Caenorhabditis elegans: one gene and its partner. The protein of the gene in region 1 interacts with the protein of each later gene in a pairwise test. Each region holds a gene or a part of one and is shown on either strand. Other genes may lie near its edges.

Region 1 (7,514 bases):
AACTTTTTCTGTCGAAAAAATCACAATTTTCACAATTTCAGTCAAATTTCAGCTTTTTTTTGATTTTTAAAAGAGATATTTCGTGTGTGAAAAATCACAAAATCAAGACAATTTCACCAATTTTTTCGGGGTTTTTGCATGGAAAAACTCATTTTTGTCCGAATTTTTTAAAGTTTAAAATTTCCAGGCCGTAGAAGTACCTGAAACTCGAGCCTGCAAAGCTTTATGCTCAATCTGAATATCTGGATTTGCGCCGAGGTCAACCATAAGAATACTCGTCCGATTCACATATTGCTCGGCTTCATCAATTTCAGAACAGTCGAGAAGAAGCTTCGTAATTCGAATGCACAGCTGGGCCTTGGCGCCTTCTTTCGCCGCTTGTGGGCCGTTGAATTTCGGGCTTGTGTCGGAATTTATTGCGATTAGGGCCTGGGCCGCGTCCTTGATACGGCCTTCTTTTTCGTAGAGGCTTGCAAGCATGAGGCGGAGGATACAGACCTGAAAAATTGGGATTTTAGGCTTAAAAAAGGGTCTTTTAACGAAAAATGTGTGACTTTTAGGACATTTTTCCAATTTTTTTCAATTTTTCGCATAAAATTAAATAAAAATGGAATTTTTGCCTTTTTTTTTTCAAATTTTCAGTTTCAAAATAAAAAGCTTTAAAAAAGTGGAAATTTCTAGTTTTTAGGCTTAAAATAGGCTTCTTAGACGAAAATTTTCAAGCTTTTCGTTAAAAAAAAACAGGAAAAAATTAATATTTGTATAAAAAAATTGAATTATCAGCTAAAAATTACAATTTTTGCACTTTTTCAGTGCAAAATTTGTATTTCTTTTAGAATTTTACGCCAAATTCTACTTTTTTCCCTCCATTTTTCACAATTTTTCATTGAAAACTCAATTTTTCTAGATTTTTCTAGGTGAAATAATTTTTTATTTTTAAACTGAAAAGAGTTTCGATATTTTCCAGAATTTTGCCCTTTTTCTTCAATTTTTCTTCAATTTTATAACGTTTTTCTCGATAAATAAGGGGTTAAGCCTGAGCCTGAGCCTAAAGCCCAAAATATCGGAAAAAAAAAACGATTGAAAATTTTTCCGAAAAATCACATAAAATCCTGAATTTTAAATCGAAATTTTTTTGAATTTCTGCTAAAAAACTCCAAAAATTCCGAATTTTTTTTTTCAAATATCTTCAAATTTTCCGCAGAATCCCATAAAATCGTTCGTTTTTCTTCAAATTTTTCAATTTTTTCTGCAAAATGCTCCATTTCACTGCAACTTTGTCCTCACGAGGGACGAGGAAAAGTGGTTTCTAGGCCAAGGCCGAGGGGCCGACAAGTTTCAGCGGCCATTTATCTTGCTTTGTTTTCCGCCTGTTTTCTTTTGTTTTTCACAGCTTTGTCCCATTTTTTCTTATTAAAACTGATAAATCAATATTTTTTGCAGATGCTAAAACAATTTCCAAGTAAAAAAATTATGTATTCAGTGGGCAAGCAGCGGTGAAAGTGGTCAATGCAATATGATGGATTACGGGAATACAAAACCTAACCTTTTTCTGAAACATGATACATATGATGCTTAGATGCTGAAATTACCTGATTTTCATAACGAGACCGCTGAAAAAGTTTTGAGATTTCCACAATTCAACTTTTTTGGTGAAAAAGTCGAGATTTTCGCACAAAAAGTTGAATTTTGGAAACCTCAAAACTTTTTCAGCGGTCTTGATATGAAAATCAGGTAGCTTCAGCATCTAAGCATCATATGTATCATGTTTCAGAAAAAATTTAGGTTTTGTATTCCCGTAATCCATCATATTACAATGCCCACTTTCACCGCTGCTTGCCCACTGAATACATAATTTTTTTACTTCGAAATTGTTTTATCATCTGCAAAAAATATTTATTTATCAGTTTTAATAAGAAAAAACGGGAAAAAGCTGTGAAAAACGAAAGAAAACAGGCGGAAAACAAAGCAAGATAAATGGCCGCTGAAACTTGTCGGCCCCTCGGCCATGGCCTAGAAACCACTGTTCCTCGTCCCTCGTGAGGAAAAAGTTGCAGTGCATTTCCAAGTACCTGATCCTCATAAGAGATGGTTCGAGTCTTAATAATCGCCAAAATTCCTTCTGAAATAGCCTTAACACATTCTGATTCCAAATGTTGATTATCCAATCTTTCAGTGATAAGTGATACAAATTGACGTGATACAACCATACTTCCAGTCTCCAATGCGATTACTGCAAACATTTTTGGGGTTATAGGCTGCTAAAAATTCTAAAAGAAATACAAATTTTGCACTGAAACAGTGCAAAAATTGTAATTTTTAGCTGATAATTCAATTTTTTTATACAAATATTAATTTTTTCCTGTTTTTTTTAACGAAAAGCTTGAAAATCTTCGTCTAAGAAGCCTATTTTAAGCCTAAAAACTAGAAATTTCCACTTTTTTAAAGCTTTATTTTGAACCTGAAAATTTGAAAAAAAAATGGTAAAAAAATTCCATTTTTATTTAATTTTATGCGAAAAATTGAAAAATGTCCTAAAAGTCACATTTTTCGTTAAAAGGCCCTATTTTAAGCCTAAAATTGGCTGAAAATCCAATTATTCTGGAAAAAAAGTTAAATAATCACTTTTTCCGTGGAAAAAACAGCTGAAAATCCGATTTTTTCAAGAAAAATATATCAAAATCCCTGAAAACTCGATTTTTTCGTGAAAAATCAGCTGAAAATCGCTTAAAAACGCAGAACATTGAGAATTTTCGAGAAAAATCGTTGAAAAACGCACTTTTTCCGTGGAAAAACGGTTTGAAAATTTGAGTTTCTTAATTCAAATTTTTCAAGAAAAATCCAATTTTTGGGGGTTTTTTTTGGCTTCTGAGGGTGAAAAAGGCTCAAAATCTGAATTTTCTGTGAAAAATCGGTAAAAGGTCGCTTTTTATACCGGAAAAATCGAATTGTTCGAGGAAAATCTTTAGAAATTCAATTTTTCCCGCGAAAAAACGGTTGAAAACTACTGGCTGAAAATCACATTTACCGTGAAAAATTGGAAATTTCGCGTTTTTTAAAGGAAATTTTTAACTTTTCAAAAAAAAAAAACAAAACTGCAGAAAACGAACGAAAAATTGGATTTTTGTGAAAATTCATAAATTACATTGAAAAATTTTTTTTTTTGGATTTGGAGCTGAATATTGGCAGAAAATCCGATTTTTTCAGGAAAAATCTTTAAAAATTTACATTTTTTTTTACAAAATGGACTCAAAATTAGCTTAAATCGCTCGAAAAAGGCTGAAAATTCCATATTTTTCACTTAAAATATTTCACTTAAAATATGGAATTTTCAGCCTTTTTTGAGCGATTTAAGCTAATTTTGAGTCCATTTTGTAAAAAAAAATGTAAATTTTTAAAGATTTTTCCTGAAAAAATCGGATTTTCTGCCAATTTTCAGCTCCAAAAATTCAAAAAAAAATTTTTTTCAATGTAATTTATTTATTTCCAGCTAAATTTCAACAGGAATTCCGAAAATGTTCTCGTTTTCCGTCAATTTTTATCGAGATTTATCGATTTTCAGCCAGATTCCAACCAAATTGTCCAATTTTGAGCGATTTTCGTCCATTTTTTCACCAAAACTCATCATTTTTCGTAATTTTTAGCCAGATTCCCACTGAAAAATCCGAAATTTTCGTCGTGTTCCAACCTGTATCAATGATTTTAATAATTTCCGCCGTATCGACTCGTCCCATCGCATTTTGTGGCAAATATTTGTTGCAAAGCTTCGCCAATCTGCAAAAATCGGGGAATTTTTTGTCTGAAAATCGAGAAAATTTCGGCTTTTTAGCTAAAAAATTACATGAAATTTCAGAAAATCACATTTTACGTGAAAAAGCTGAAATTTTTAGCGTGATTTTCAGCAAAAAAATTAAAAAATTTTTTTAATTTGAGAATTTTCGAGTTTTTTGATACAAAAATTGGAAATTTTTTAGCTAATAATTAGTTTTTTTCCAATTTTTGAACGAAAAAAGTGCGGGATTTGTAAGAATTTTTCATTTCAAAATTCGTAGAAAATAAATGAAAACTTGAGTTTTTAAATAGAATTTTTCAGATTTTAAGTATAAAAATTTGAAAATTTCAGATTTTCTGGAAAAAAAAGATAAAAATTTCAATTTTTCGCGAATTTTACTAATTTTTTAAATTAGGAAATGTTTTTGCGTGAAAATTCGTTTTTTTTTCAAAATTTCTACATAGCTAAAATCGTTTTTTTTTTTTCATATTTTTTCAGCTGAAAATTTACAAAATTCAGATTTTCCAATGAAAAATACAAAAATTTGGGATTTTTTGCTAAAAATTTCCAGATTTTCACATTTTTAGCTCCAAATTTTCTCAAAAATCCAAAAATATTACGCTTCATATTGAGCCTTGTGATCGGTATCCTGTGCAAAAATGACCGCCACCTCCTGTGAACGTTCAATTTCGCCGCTCATTTTCAGCTGAAATTGTGGAAATTTTACAACAAAATTTTGGGGGGAATTTTCAGATAAAAATATAGGAAATTCGACTATTTTTTCTTTAAAATTTCTAATTTTTTGTGATTTTTTTGGAGAATTTTATAACAAACACAACGTGAAGCAAAAAACGAGAAAAAAAAACAAAATTTCGAGGGGGAAAAGCTGAAAATTATAGAATTTAAGGCGCAATTTTAAGATCATAAACTGTGATTTTCAGATTCAGAACGGGTTGGGGGATAGCATTAAAAATTATGGAGAATTGGAGGAAAAAGGCTGAAATTCGGCTGAAAATGGGGCAAAAGTTCGATTTTTCAGAAGAAAATGACAATTTTAAGCCCATTTTCTGGCAAAAACTGGAAAATTTTGGCTGAAAAATGCAAATTTTTAGCTAAATTTGACCAAAATCGAGTAAATTTGGAACTGAATTTTCGCGTTAAAAAAAAAAAATTAATTTTTAAGCAAAAATCGAATTTTCAGCTCATTTTCCAGCGAAAATCAATAAAAACGGGGAAATTGCAAAAAATCATACGGAGAAGGCATATAGAGCGGGAAAATTTAAAAAATACGGGGAAAAATGGTGGAAAATGAGCTAAAAACTGTTAAGCGAATTTTCAAGATAATTGCAATTTCAGCTCAATTCCCAGGGAAACGGCGGGGAAATTCGAGGGGAAAATCTGAAAAAGTGGGGGAAAATTGTCTAAAATTTCGCTGAAAAATCGATTTTCAGCTCATTTTCACTCAAATTTCCCCAATTTTTCAGCAAAAATGCACACAAAAAAATTAGGCCATTCCATCGTCATCCTCATCTTGAGCCTTTGGTCCACGTGGTTTTGGTCCTCCAGTCGCCTGCTTTGACATAATAATCTGATCAACTTTGAGAATTGTGCTGGCGGCGTCTGTGGCGAGCTTAATTGCCAGTCGTTTTCCAGCGTAGAGGTCGAAAATGTTGTTGACGACGGCGTCCATTGTTTCTGAAAAAAAAGAAGGAATTTTAGTTTAAAATTCGGGATTTTTCAGAATTTTGATTGAAAATTTACAAGTTTTATGCGCTGGAAATTGACATTTTTAGCCAAAATTTCGGGGGGTTTTGAGGAATTTTTACCTGAAAATTTGGCATTTTTCAGAGTTGAAAATGGCCGATTTTTGGCTGAGTTTTCGATTTTTTCATTCAATTTTTTGCATTTTTGAGTTGATTTAAAGAAATTTCAGTTGAAAATTTCGGATTTTCAGCTAATTTTCTGAGCTTGAACCGAAAAGTTGAGGTTTTTCAAAAGGAAAATTGGCCAATTTTGATTAAAACTTGAAAATTTTCTGTCAGTTTGCTGATATTTTTTTTTGGAATTTTTAGCAAAAATTGAATGTGTTGTCTGGAATTGGGGGATTTTTTTTGGAAATTTTGACGTTTTTTGGAAGAATTTCAGTTGACTTTTGACTGAAAATTGCCTATTTTTAGCGAAAATTCCGGGTTTTGTGAGGGTTTCCAGCTGTGAAAAATCAGTTATTTTAATGCAAAAACTGAAGAAAACTTTAAAAAAGTGAAGCAAAACAAAAGAAAATTGATGTTTCCGGTCACATTTTCAGTCAAAAATGCACATTTTCAGGTAAAATTCAAGTTTTTCGGCCATTTTTCGACCTAAATTATTGGATTTACAGTGGAAAATTTAGGTTTTCGGCGAATTTCAGCCGAAATTGTTAGATTTTCAGCAGAAACAGCGGAATTCCGGTGAAAATTCAAATTTTCAGTTAGAAATGTTTTCGGTAAATTTCAGCAGAAAATTTTGAATTTTCAGTCAAAAATTAAAGTTTTCCAGTCATTTTTCGACCTAAATTGTCAGATTTTAAACCGAAAATTCGATTTTCTTCGAATTTTCAGTGCTTTCATTGGGTTTTTTCAAGCCGTACCCCGCTTCCAGATATCAATTCCAGCGTTTTTCTTTCCAGCAACATGCTCCGCGTAGAGTTTTGTCAGAGTTTCAGTGGTTGGCATTCCAGCGTTCTCAGCAATAGCTTTTGGAAGAGTTTCGAGTGCGTGGGCGAACTTTTTGATTGCATATTGCTCCAAACCAGGTGCTTTTGCTCCAAACGACTCAATTTCTTTGGCGAGCTCAATTTCGACGGCTCCGGCTCCGGCGAGCAATTTCCCGTCTTTTGTAAGAGCTTTATAGGTGTTTACAGCATCATCGACAGCTCTTTCGACGTCATCAATACGAGATTGAGAGGATCCACGGATTATGATTGTGGCGACTTTTCCGGTTTCTGAAAATTTGAGAAAATTGAGATTTGAAGCTGAAAATTTGAATTTTTGGCTAAAAATTGGCTTTTTCAGTGATAATTTTAACATTTTCAGCTGAAATGGTAAATTTTTGGCCAAAATATTGGGAATTTACAGCTCAAATTTTGAGGTTTTATTTGCAAAATTTTCAAAAATCTAAATTTTTAAGTAAAAAACCGGAATTTTCAGCTGAAATTTCAGTTTTCAAGTGAAAATTCACAGAAAATGGCAAATTATCGGTGAAAAACACCTCGTGGGAGTCCAAATCTTCAAAAACAGGCCGTTTTTGAAATAAAAATTCATTAAAAAGTGACAATTTTCAGGTAAAAACGGTAGAAATTTTGGTCTAAGCTCATCAAATTCCGCAGTTTTATACGAAAATCACAATTTTCGACTGAAAACCGTCGAAAATTCCGAATTTTTTGGTCTAACATTGTAAAAATCATACTTGTTTGAGTCAAAACTCGCCAAATCGTTTTTTTAAAAGGTTTCCAGAGCTAAAAATTACAAAAAATCGGAGAATTCCCGTTTTGGGGGTCAAAATTTCCTAAATTCTCAGTTTTTCCACATTATATACCCGATTTCTTATCGAAAACGACGACATTTTCGTCTCCAATCTCTTGAACAGCCACAGAATCACAGTGTCCCAACAGATTAACAGCTGGAGCACAGATTCTTGCTTGTGGTTGAGCTCCGACGGTACGGCAGAGGCGGCGAAGATCGAATTTTGATGTAAGACGGACGGC
Region 2 (8,386 bases), about 12 Mb from region 1:
ACGCTCAACTCTACTGTTCCAACGGAACCCGTGGTGGGACCTGTGGAACCTACAGTACCTACAGTACCCGCCACAAAAGAGACTGGCCCTTCAAGCTCTGCAGAGTGCTCTACCCAACCCGCCGTTGCCGAGCAAGAAGACAACTCCCTTTTGGCACAACTTTTAAAAGGAAAAATCACGTCTGATGATGCAAAGTTGCAACCACCACGTGGACCTTTCGAATACGCACCGATGCTCTCCGAGGAGGCACAATTTGCGATTAAGCTGGCGGGTCTTCTCAACCCGAATCCGGTCACTGAACAGGACCCGAGCACTTTCAAGCCGCCTCCGAAAATGAGCAATAATGTTCGAAAAAACATTAATTTGACTCCGGTTATTGAGAATGCAGTTCCGAGTGGATTTGAACTGGAAAGTCCGAAAGATCAGGCATTTGATGTGGTTCATGGAAGACTATCTATGGGACAGAATCAGACATGTTATTTTGTACGTTTACGGTAGAAGTTCAATATTAAAATTTAAATAATCTTCCAGGTCACAGTCGAGGAAATGAGACGAAGATTGCAAAGTCCGGAGAAGCTCAATAGTTCGAGTATCGCATGCAATCTTAAAAGGCCAAAACTGAAGAATGGAGGTGAACTGATGCGCGCTCAACTGAGAGATCATGGAATCAAGGTTCAACTGAATGCGAAACAGAAGGCTTTTCCCAACAAAGTGATCGCTTTGGTCGAAGCGGAAGCTGTTCATTTGGGACTTGATCTTGGAACAGCTGTACGAGATGATTATCCAGTTCAAGATATAATTCAAGAAGTTGCTCATGAAGCATTGGCTGACGAGGATGCAGATCTGGATGCGTTGATGAATGATAAGGATTTCACGTAAGTTGACTATATTCCAATTTCTCAATTCTGACGCCAAATTCCAAATATTTCAGAGAATGTATGTCAGCACTTGAATCAGTTTTCACATCAGTCGTCCCTCCGATCACTGGAATCGAGCCAAAACCGTCGAACAACATGCGACTGAACAATGGAATGGAGACCTTTTCATCAGCTTCACATGGACTTGGAATCGTGTCTCAACGGGTTTGGCTCCCCCAATTGACTGCAATCGGAAATGGAGTCGCATCTGAACTTCGACGCTTGACAGAGACGCCAACTGAATCAAAGCCAGAGGAATTGAAAGCATAAATTCATATTTTCATATTCTGATATTTAAAACAATCTGATTACCAAGGTCTCACTTATTTTCCATGATCTCTATGATGTTTTCACTTAATTTCAATGAAACTTTTTATTTATTTAAATCCTCATACGATGTTCCTTAGTACTAGGAAATGCATCATTAAAAATGATTTTCATATTGCTAGTACGTCTTATAGAGTAGCTTCGAATTCACTTTATACATTTGAATAATATTGAATTTTATAGGTTTTACACATCATTTTGATCATTTTGATGTGTAAAACTTTGAAAAATTCATTATTATTCAAATGTATAAAATGAATTCGAAGCTTCTCTATAAGACGTACTAGCAACATGAAAATAATTTTTAATGATACATATTCCAAAACTGAAAATTAGGAATTTCTTTACCCCCGTTCCTCACGTGAAAACATTTATTGACCCTGTGGCAATGTGCGCTTGCGCGTCTGCGTCTCCAGAAGGCGTAATCTCTCGTGTTCAAACACTTTCTCAACTGACCATTTGTTTGCGTCGTTGCCGACGGCTTAACCATATGTTGCCTTTTCCCCCTTACATTTATACAAGACAGTAATATTAATAAATCGGTTTGATCTACAAAAATGCGGGAATTTTTTGGTCAAAAAATGTGACGTCAGCACGTTCTTAACCATTCGAAATCAGTTGACAGCTCTGCATCTAAATTCCCGCATTTTTTGTAGATCTAAGTAAATCCAGCTGAAATGAGCCATCTGACACCACGTGATTTACTGAAACATTATTTTCCAGTCAAAAATGGGATTAGCTCAGTCCCACTCGCGGACGCCCTCTCGTGATCCACTTCCAAATGACCATCAAGTAATGGATGTGTATGAAGAGTCTGGTCCAAGACGGGGAAGAAAACGAAAAGCGGCAAAAGGAAGTGAGATTGAGATGAAGAAAGTGGCAAAACTGAACACATGTGCATATGTATATCAGAAATTGTTTTTACAGGTTAGAATAAATTGAATTTTTAGTGCAAAATGGGTAACTAAAATATGGAGTTGACTAAATTAATGCAATAAAATTCCAAAATGAATGTTTTGTTTCAACAAATTTGAGATTTCTTCGTCACGAATCTGGTAAATTGTGTTTTTTTTTAATTTTGTAACATGGAAAAAGAAAAAACTGATTATTTAGTTCGAAAACCTACATTTTAGTATTTTTTCACTAATTATGCCAACTATATACCGTATTTCCTCTATTAGTCTTGCATGCAAGAGAAAATTGCCAAAATTGTTACTATTGTGCTGAAATTTTATTCTCAGAATTTTTAAAATTACAGGCAAAACAGGGCCACTCGTAATTTTGAACGTCTACCAAAAATTGATTTTTACTATGATTTTGGAATTTTTAAAATTCCGGAAATATCGTAAATTTTTCCAAAAGTCCAAATTTTTTGAAAATTTGACATTTTATCAAAGATTTTTTCGGCGTTTTTCAATTGAGACATATCTTTTTTTCGCATTTTGAGTATGCAATTGATGAAAAATTTCAGAATTATCACAAATTTCAGTACAAAACAGTTTAATACTGAGAAATTAATTTTTTAAAAACTTAATTTTCACAGGTATGTAGTTTCAGAAATTTTCACTCAATCAGAGGTGCGCGACAATCGAGTTTTCGGCAATTTCGGAAATTGCCAAACATTTTGAAACCCAGCAATTGTCGGAATTGCCGGAAATTTCCAAAACCGGCAATTGCCGAAACTGCCTATTGCCGAAAATTTTGAAAACCGGCAATTATCGGAATTGCCGGAAATTTCCAAAACCGGCAATTGGCGAAATTGCCGGAAATTTTGAAGACCGGCACTTGCCGAAAATTTCCAAAACCGGCAATTGCCGTAAATTTTGAAAACCGGCAAATGTCAGAATTGCCGGAAATTTCCGATTGCCGCCAAAAAACTATGACCATAATTATTTTGAAATTCCTTTGTATAATTAGTAGGGAAAGAAAACAATTCAATTGAAAGAAATTTGGAAATTTTCTCAAATTTCGTTATTTTTTCAGGGAGAAAATTCGGACATTGTCCTGGCTGCGTGTGGCAGGGAATGGAGGGTTCACAAGCTTTATCTAAAGCAGACCAAATTTTTTGAAGTGAGTTTTTTGAATTGTTTCAAATTAATTTCGAATGCTTTTAGTCAATGTTCGATGGTTTATGGACAGAGTCGAATAGTGGAAGAGTTCAGATGGAAATAACAGATCCGAATATTGACGCAGATGGTCTAAACTCGGTGCTCGGAAGTCTATATCACAATGAGATTGAGATAGATTTGGATAAAATCGAGGGAACTGTGGCAGCGGCTTCATATATTGTACTTGATAGTGTCACAGATAGATGTTCAGAAATGATGATTGAAGCATTAAGCACAAAGAATGCAGTTCGATTCTACGATGTTTCAACTAAATATGGTCTGGAGAAGGTTCGAGAGAAATCGATGGAAGTATTGTTACACCAATTTTGGAAAATAATGACTGATAGGGAGAAGCTCAATGAAGTTGATCGACAGCTTTTTGTGACGCTTCTCAATTCACCCAATCTTTTGATAATTGAAGGCGAATTTGATCTTTATAAAGTTGTTAAATCTGTAAGTCATTTCTCATTCCCGAAAATTTAAAACCGAATTTTAATAATGAGGCTTCTCAAAAATTCGAAAAAAAGTCCAATTTTGCTAAAATCAGCTGGTTCAACAATGAAAAGTTGGCGAAATTTGGCTCGAATTTTTTGGGGGCCAGTATGAGTATTTTAAAACAGTGAAAATTTTTACACTTTTTCACTTTTAATTATCAATAGCAGAAACTAATTCTTCCTAGAACTACAGTAATCCTACACTGCTCCCCAGGGGAGCGCGGCAATTTCCAGAATTGCCGGAAATTTTGAAAACCGGCAATTGCTGGAATTGCCGGAAATTTTGAAAAGCGGCAAATGCCGGAATTTCCTAAACCTTCCGAAACCGGCAACTGCCGCAACTGACGGCAACTGGCAACTGAAACTGGCAATTGCCGGAATTGCCGATTGCCCGAAATTTTGAAAGGCAGCAAATGCCTAAATTGCCGGAAATTTTGAAAACCGGCAAATTCCGAAATTGTCGATTGCCAGAAATTATGAAAACCGGCAATTGCCGGAATCGCCTAAAATTTCCAAAACCAGCAATTGCCGGAATTTCCGATTGTCGGAAACTTTAACAACCGGCAATTGTCCGACTTGCCGATTGCCGGAAATTTTGAAAACCGGCAATTGTCCGGAATGGCCGGGAATTTTTGAACACCGGCAATTGCCGGAATTCCCGATTGCCGAAAGTTTTGAAAACAGGCAATTGCCGGAATCGCCGGAAATTTCTAAAACCGGCAATTATCGGAATTGCCGATTGCCGAAAATGTTGAAAACAGGCAATTGCCGGAATCGCCGGAAATTTCCAAAACCGGCAATTATCGGAATTGCCGATTGCCCGAAATTTCCAAAACCGGCAATTGCCGGAATTGTCGATTGCCGGAAATGTTGAAAACAGGCAATTGCCGGAATTGCCGATTGACAAGAATTTTGAAAACCGGCAATCGCCGCAAATTTTCACATCTACAACACTACTACGAGACCCCGACAACTCATTATTCAAACTACAGTACCCCTACAGTAGCCCTACACTAAACCCAACCCTCCACTATTTCGAAAGACAAATTCTAATTTTTTCTGACTATAAATAAAAATTGTATTTTATATATAGAAAATGATTACAGTGGATCTACATGCGAGAAGTGCCCGATTGCTGCAAGGATGACAGTCCAGAGACTTTCACTCAAAATGCTTCCAAATTTTTCAAAGAATCGAAAACTTCAATGTTCATAAAATATGCGGATATCTTTGCCAGTCTACGAATAGAACAGTTTTTGACATGTTCTGAAACTATAAAAACAGTCAAATCAGATGCATTAATTCCGTTGTCAATTGTTGATGAAATGACGTCAGCACTTTGGTCATCACTTTTAGAAAATGAAGAAAGTCCAAAGTAAGTTCGAAAGTCGACAGAATAGTGATAAACTTTGAGCTGTTCAGAACACTTGAAATGGATGATGATGAGTTTTTTAAACGATGTATTAGGCTTGGTAGATCATTGGATTCATTCCCGGTTAGTTACTTATTCGAAATCTAAAAAATCTTTTTAAAATTATAGAAATGCTGGCGATGGATAGGATTCAATTTCGGAGTTGATCTACTTCTTCATGTAAACGACTATTCTGTATGTATAAAACGAAATTGTCTCAACCAAAAAGCTCCGTATTCGGTGAACTTAAAGTCTAAACATGTTCTACATTACCGGTAAGTTGTTGGTTGCCACGATTTTCAAGATAAATAGTCAAATTCAGACTGGTCATTTGCGACTCAAATGGTCAAATCCTCTATGACAGTGGAAAAACCACGTGGGAAATGAAGCCAGATGAAGCTAGAACAATCTATCGAATGAGTGAAGACTTGGCAACTCAGATATCAGTTCACTTTCAGTATCTGATTCATCAACCGATTTGTAGTACAGGTCATTATGTGAACAAGTATCTAGATGATCAGAATTCTACTGATGATGAAGACGATGAGGAAGAAGAAGATGATGATGGAGATGACGAAGAAGACAGCTCGTAGTTTTCAATTATCGGAGGACTGACGGTTCGGACGATTTCAAACTTATAGACCCAAAATGTGCTCAAATGAAAGAATTTCGTAATGAAACTTCTCAAAAATTTTTCAAAGATTTTTTTATGGCGGTTAAAAAATTAAAAAAATATTACACTGAATTTAGCTAAAATCCCGAATTTTGGCCACTTTTCCGTATCATATCTGTCCGAAGTTTACTTTTTCGGAATTATCATCCTTTATTGCATATTTTGGTACTTTATCTTATTTAATTTCGTTTATTAAAGTACATTTAAAGGCGATAGGTAACCAAAAATCATCGAAATTGGCTAACTATCGGCTTAAATGTACTACCAAAAAATGCAATAAAGGATGATAATTCCAAAAAAGTCAACTTCGGACAGATGTAACACAGAAAAGTAGCCGAAATTCGAGATTTTAGTTAAAATCAGTGTAATTTTTTCGAAATTTTGAACCACCATAAAAATTTTTTGAAACATTTTTGAGAAGTTTCATTACGAAATTTGTCCATTTCAGCCCATTTTGGGTGTATACGTTCAAAACCGTCCGAACCGTTAGTCCTCCTATAAATGTTTTTTCTTGTGCATTATGTATTAGAACCCAACTTGTACATCTATGAACATGTAATATATATCTATGCAACATAATAATAATAAAAACAATTGCATCTATATCACTGACTAAGTATTTTGAGTGTGTCTCAGCCAGTTCTCAAGGGCAGAACCTGATATATATATATTGATGGGTGACTTCACGCTGTGAACTTTCGATTATTTGCCGATATATTTTGCCCACCTTCACACAACCCTTCACGCAGGACTTCTTTAATGAAGCGAACATGATCCGAATAGCCTTTGCCGTTCTTATTTTAGTTTCGGTGGTTACCACACAACCACTGCTATTTCCGCACGGATGGTTCGAAAGCAAGAATTTACGACCGCGAGATGCAATTATGCTGAACATGATGGCACAGTCGAATCTTGAATATGGAGGTGTAACCTTAGAGGTAATTGGAATAGTGTGCGTTTAGTCATTTTTTACAAGAATGTAGGTTAAAATGGCCCAAAAGACCAAATTTAACAATAAGACTTTTTTGAAAATTCCCAAAAATGTTTCAAAATTTCGATTTAAATTAATTCAGTCTGAACCTAGAATTTTGCTTTTTTCAATCACAGATAACGAATTAATTATATTTTTGACGGGGGTATTTGAATATTAGGTACTTGTGCATTACATGCCCTCATTTTCAAATTAAATTAAATTGTCATTAATTTCTCCAATTAAAATAAACGTGATATACATTTTTCCTCTTTAGGCTTAGAAAATGTTATTTTCTAAGCCTAAAAATACAAATTGTGGTTCACGTTTTTATTTTTCATGGCTTAAAAAATTACTATTAAGATGAGGGCATGTAATACACAAGTACCGAATATTACAGGAACATTTAAAATCTGAGAATGCGTATTGTGCAACATATTTGACGCGCAAAATATCTCGTAGCGAAAACTACTACAGTAACCCTTTAAATGCCTACTGTAGAGCTTGTGTCGATTTACTGATATCATTTTGTAATCGATCAAAAATATTGTAAGAAAACAAAAAATGGCATTAAAAACTATTTTTAAAAAATTGGAAAGCGGAAATTTTTCGATTGTTCAATTTTCCGCTATTTCGAAAAAATCGATTTTTTTGAGAAATAGCTTAAAATTTCGGTATTTTTCTTTTTTATATGAAAAATATATATTTTTCATGTTTTTTCTCATCAACATGAACAAAATTTGGTTAAAAAATTATATTTTATGGTTTATTTTATTTTCCGAATAATCGAACATTTTTCATTTTTAGTTTTCCCTGGAAAAATCAGAAAATCGTTTCGGAAATCGAGCCCGTTAATCGACACAAGCGCTACAGTAGTCACTTAAATTATTACTGTAGTTTTCGCTACGAGATGTTTTGCGCGTCGAATATGTTGCATCCTCAGATATTTGTGTTCCCGTAAAAATAAAAATACTTACAAAATTGGAGATTTTACCTAAATTTTAGTCCACAATAAATTTTTACACGATTTCAAAGAAGTCTCGTTATAAAATTCTGTCTTTTGGGACCATTTCGAGCACGTTTTAAAAATCGGCGAAAAAAATTGAACCCAAAATAACGTGGTGCCAGAGTGTCCCATATTGGTTTGATCTACGTAGATCTACTAAAAATGCGGGAGAAGAGACGCAGGCTTCTCAACTGATTTCACATGGTTGAGAGCGTGGTGACGTCACATTTATTGGGCAAAAAATTCCCGCATTTTGTGTAGATCAGCCCGTGATGGGACAGTCTGACATCACGTGAAAATGCGTCAGTATTAGAAATACTATAGAACTCTACATTTTAGGAGCTAGACAAGCTTGATGCCGTTCGAAAGCAGATTCCTCGTCCAGAAAAGTTAGCAAGAGATCGAGAGGAAGACGATGTGGAGCTGGATAGACAACCAATTTTTACAGCGGAAGGTGAAAAGATTGCAGTTGAGAAGAAG

The links. The genes of interacting proteins can lie anywhere in the genome.
Region 2: the proteins of csn-4 (region 1) and gcl-1 interact in a two-hybrid assay, tested with the Caenorhabditis elegans proteins (one large-scale study listed by BioGRID).

Annotation. Positions count from the first base shown.
Region 1 is NC_003282.8:1,082,536-1,090,049, forward strand, and holds the start of csn-4 (COP9 signalosome complex subunit 4), read right to left. Parts: upstream 4,479-7,514; 5' UTR 4,473-4,478; coding exon 4,393-4,472; intron 3,775-4,392; coding exon 3,689-3,774; intron 2,234-3,688; coding exon 2,073-2,233; intron 499-2,072; coding exon 201-498; intron 1-200. Other genes in the region: cct-8 (T-complex protein 1 subunit theta), read right to left, coding at 5,277-5,467, 6,399-6,752, 7,346-7,514. UniProt on the Caenorhabditis elegans protein: Component of the COP9 signalosome complex (CSN), a complex involved in various cellular and developmental processes.
Region 2 is NC_003282.8:13,406,477-13,414,862, reverse strand, and holds gcl-1 (BTB domain-containing protein), read left to right. Parts: upstream 1-1,967; 5' UTR 1,968-1,973; coding exon 1,974-2,171; intron 2,172-3,227; coding exon 3,228-3,314; intron 3,315-3,358; coding exon 3,359-3,805; intron 3,806-4,952; coding exon 4,953-5,221; intron 5,222-5,268; coding exon 5,269-5,341; intron 5,342-5,386; coding exon 5,387-5,532; intron 5,533-5,579; coding exon 5,580-5,850; 3' UTR 5,851-6,538; downstream 6,539-8,386. Other genes in the region: Transcription factor aptf-2, read left to right, coding at 1-483, 532-875, 932-1,187; Y62E10A.19 (Neuropeptide-Like Protein), read left to right, coding at 6,701-6,868, 8,246-8,386.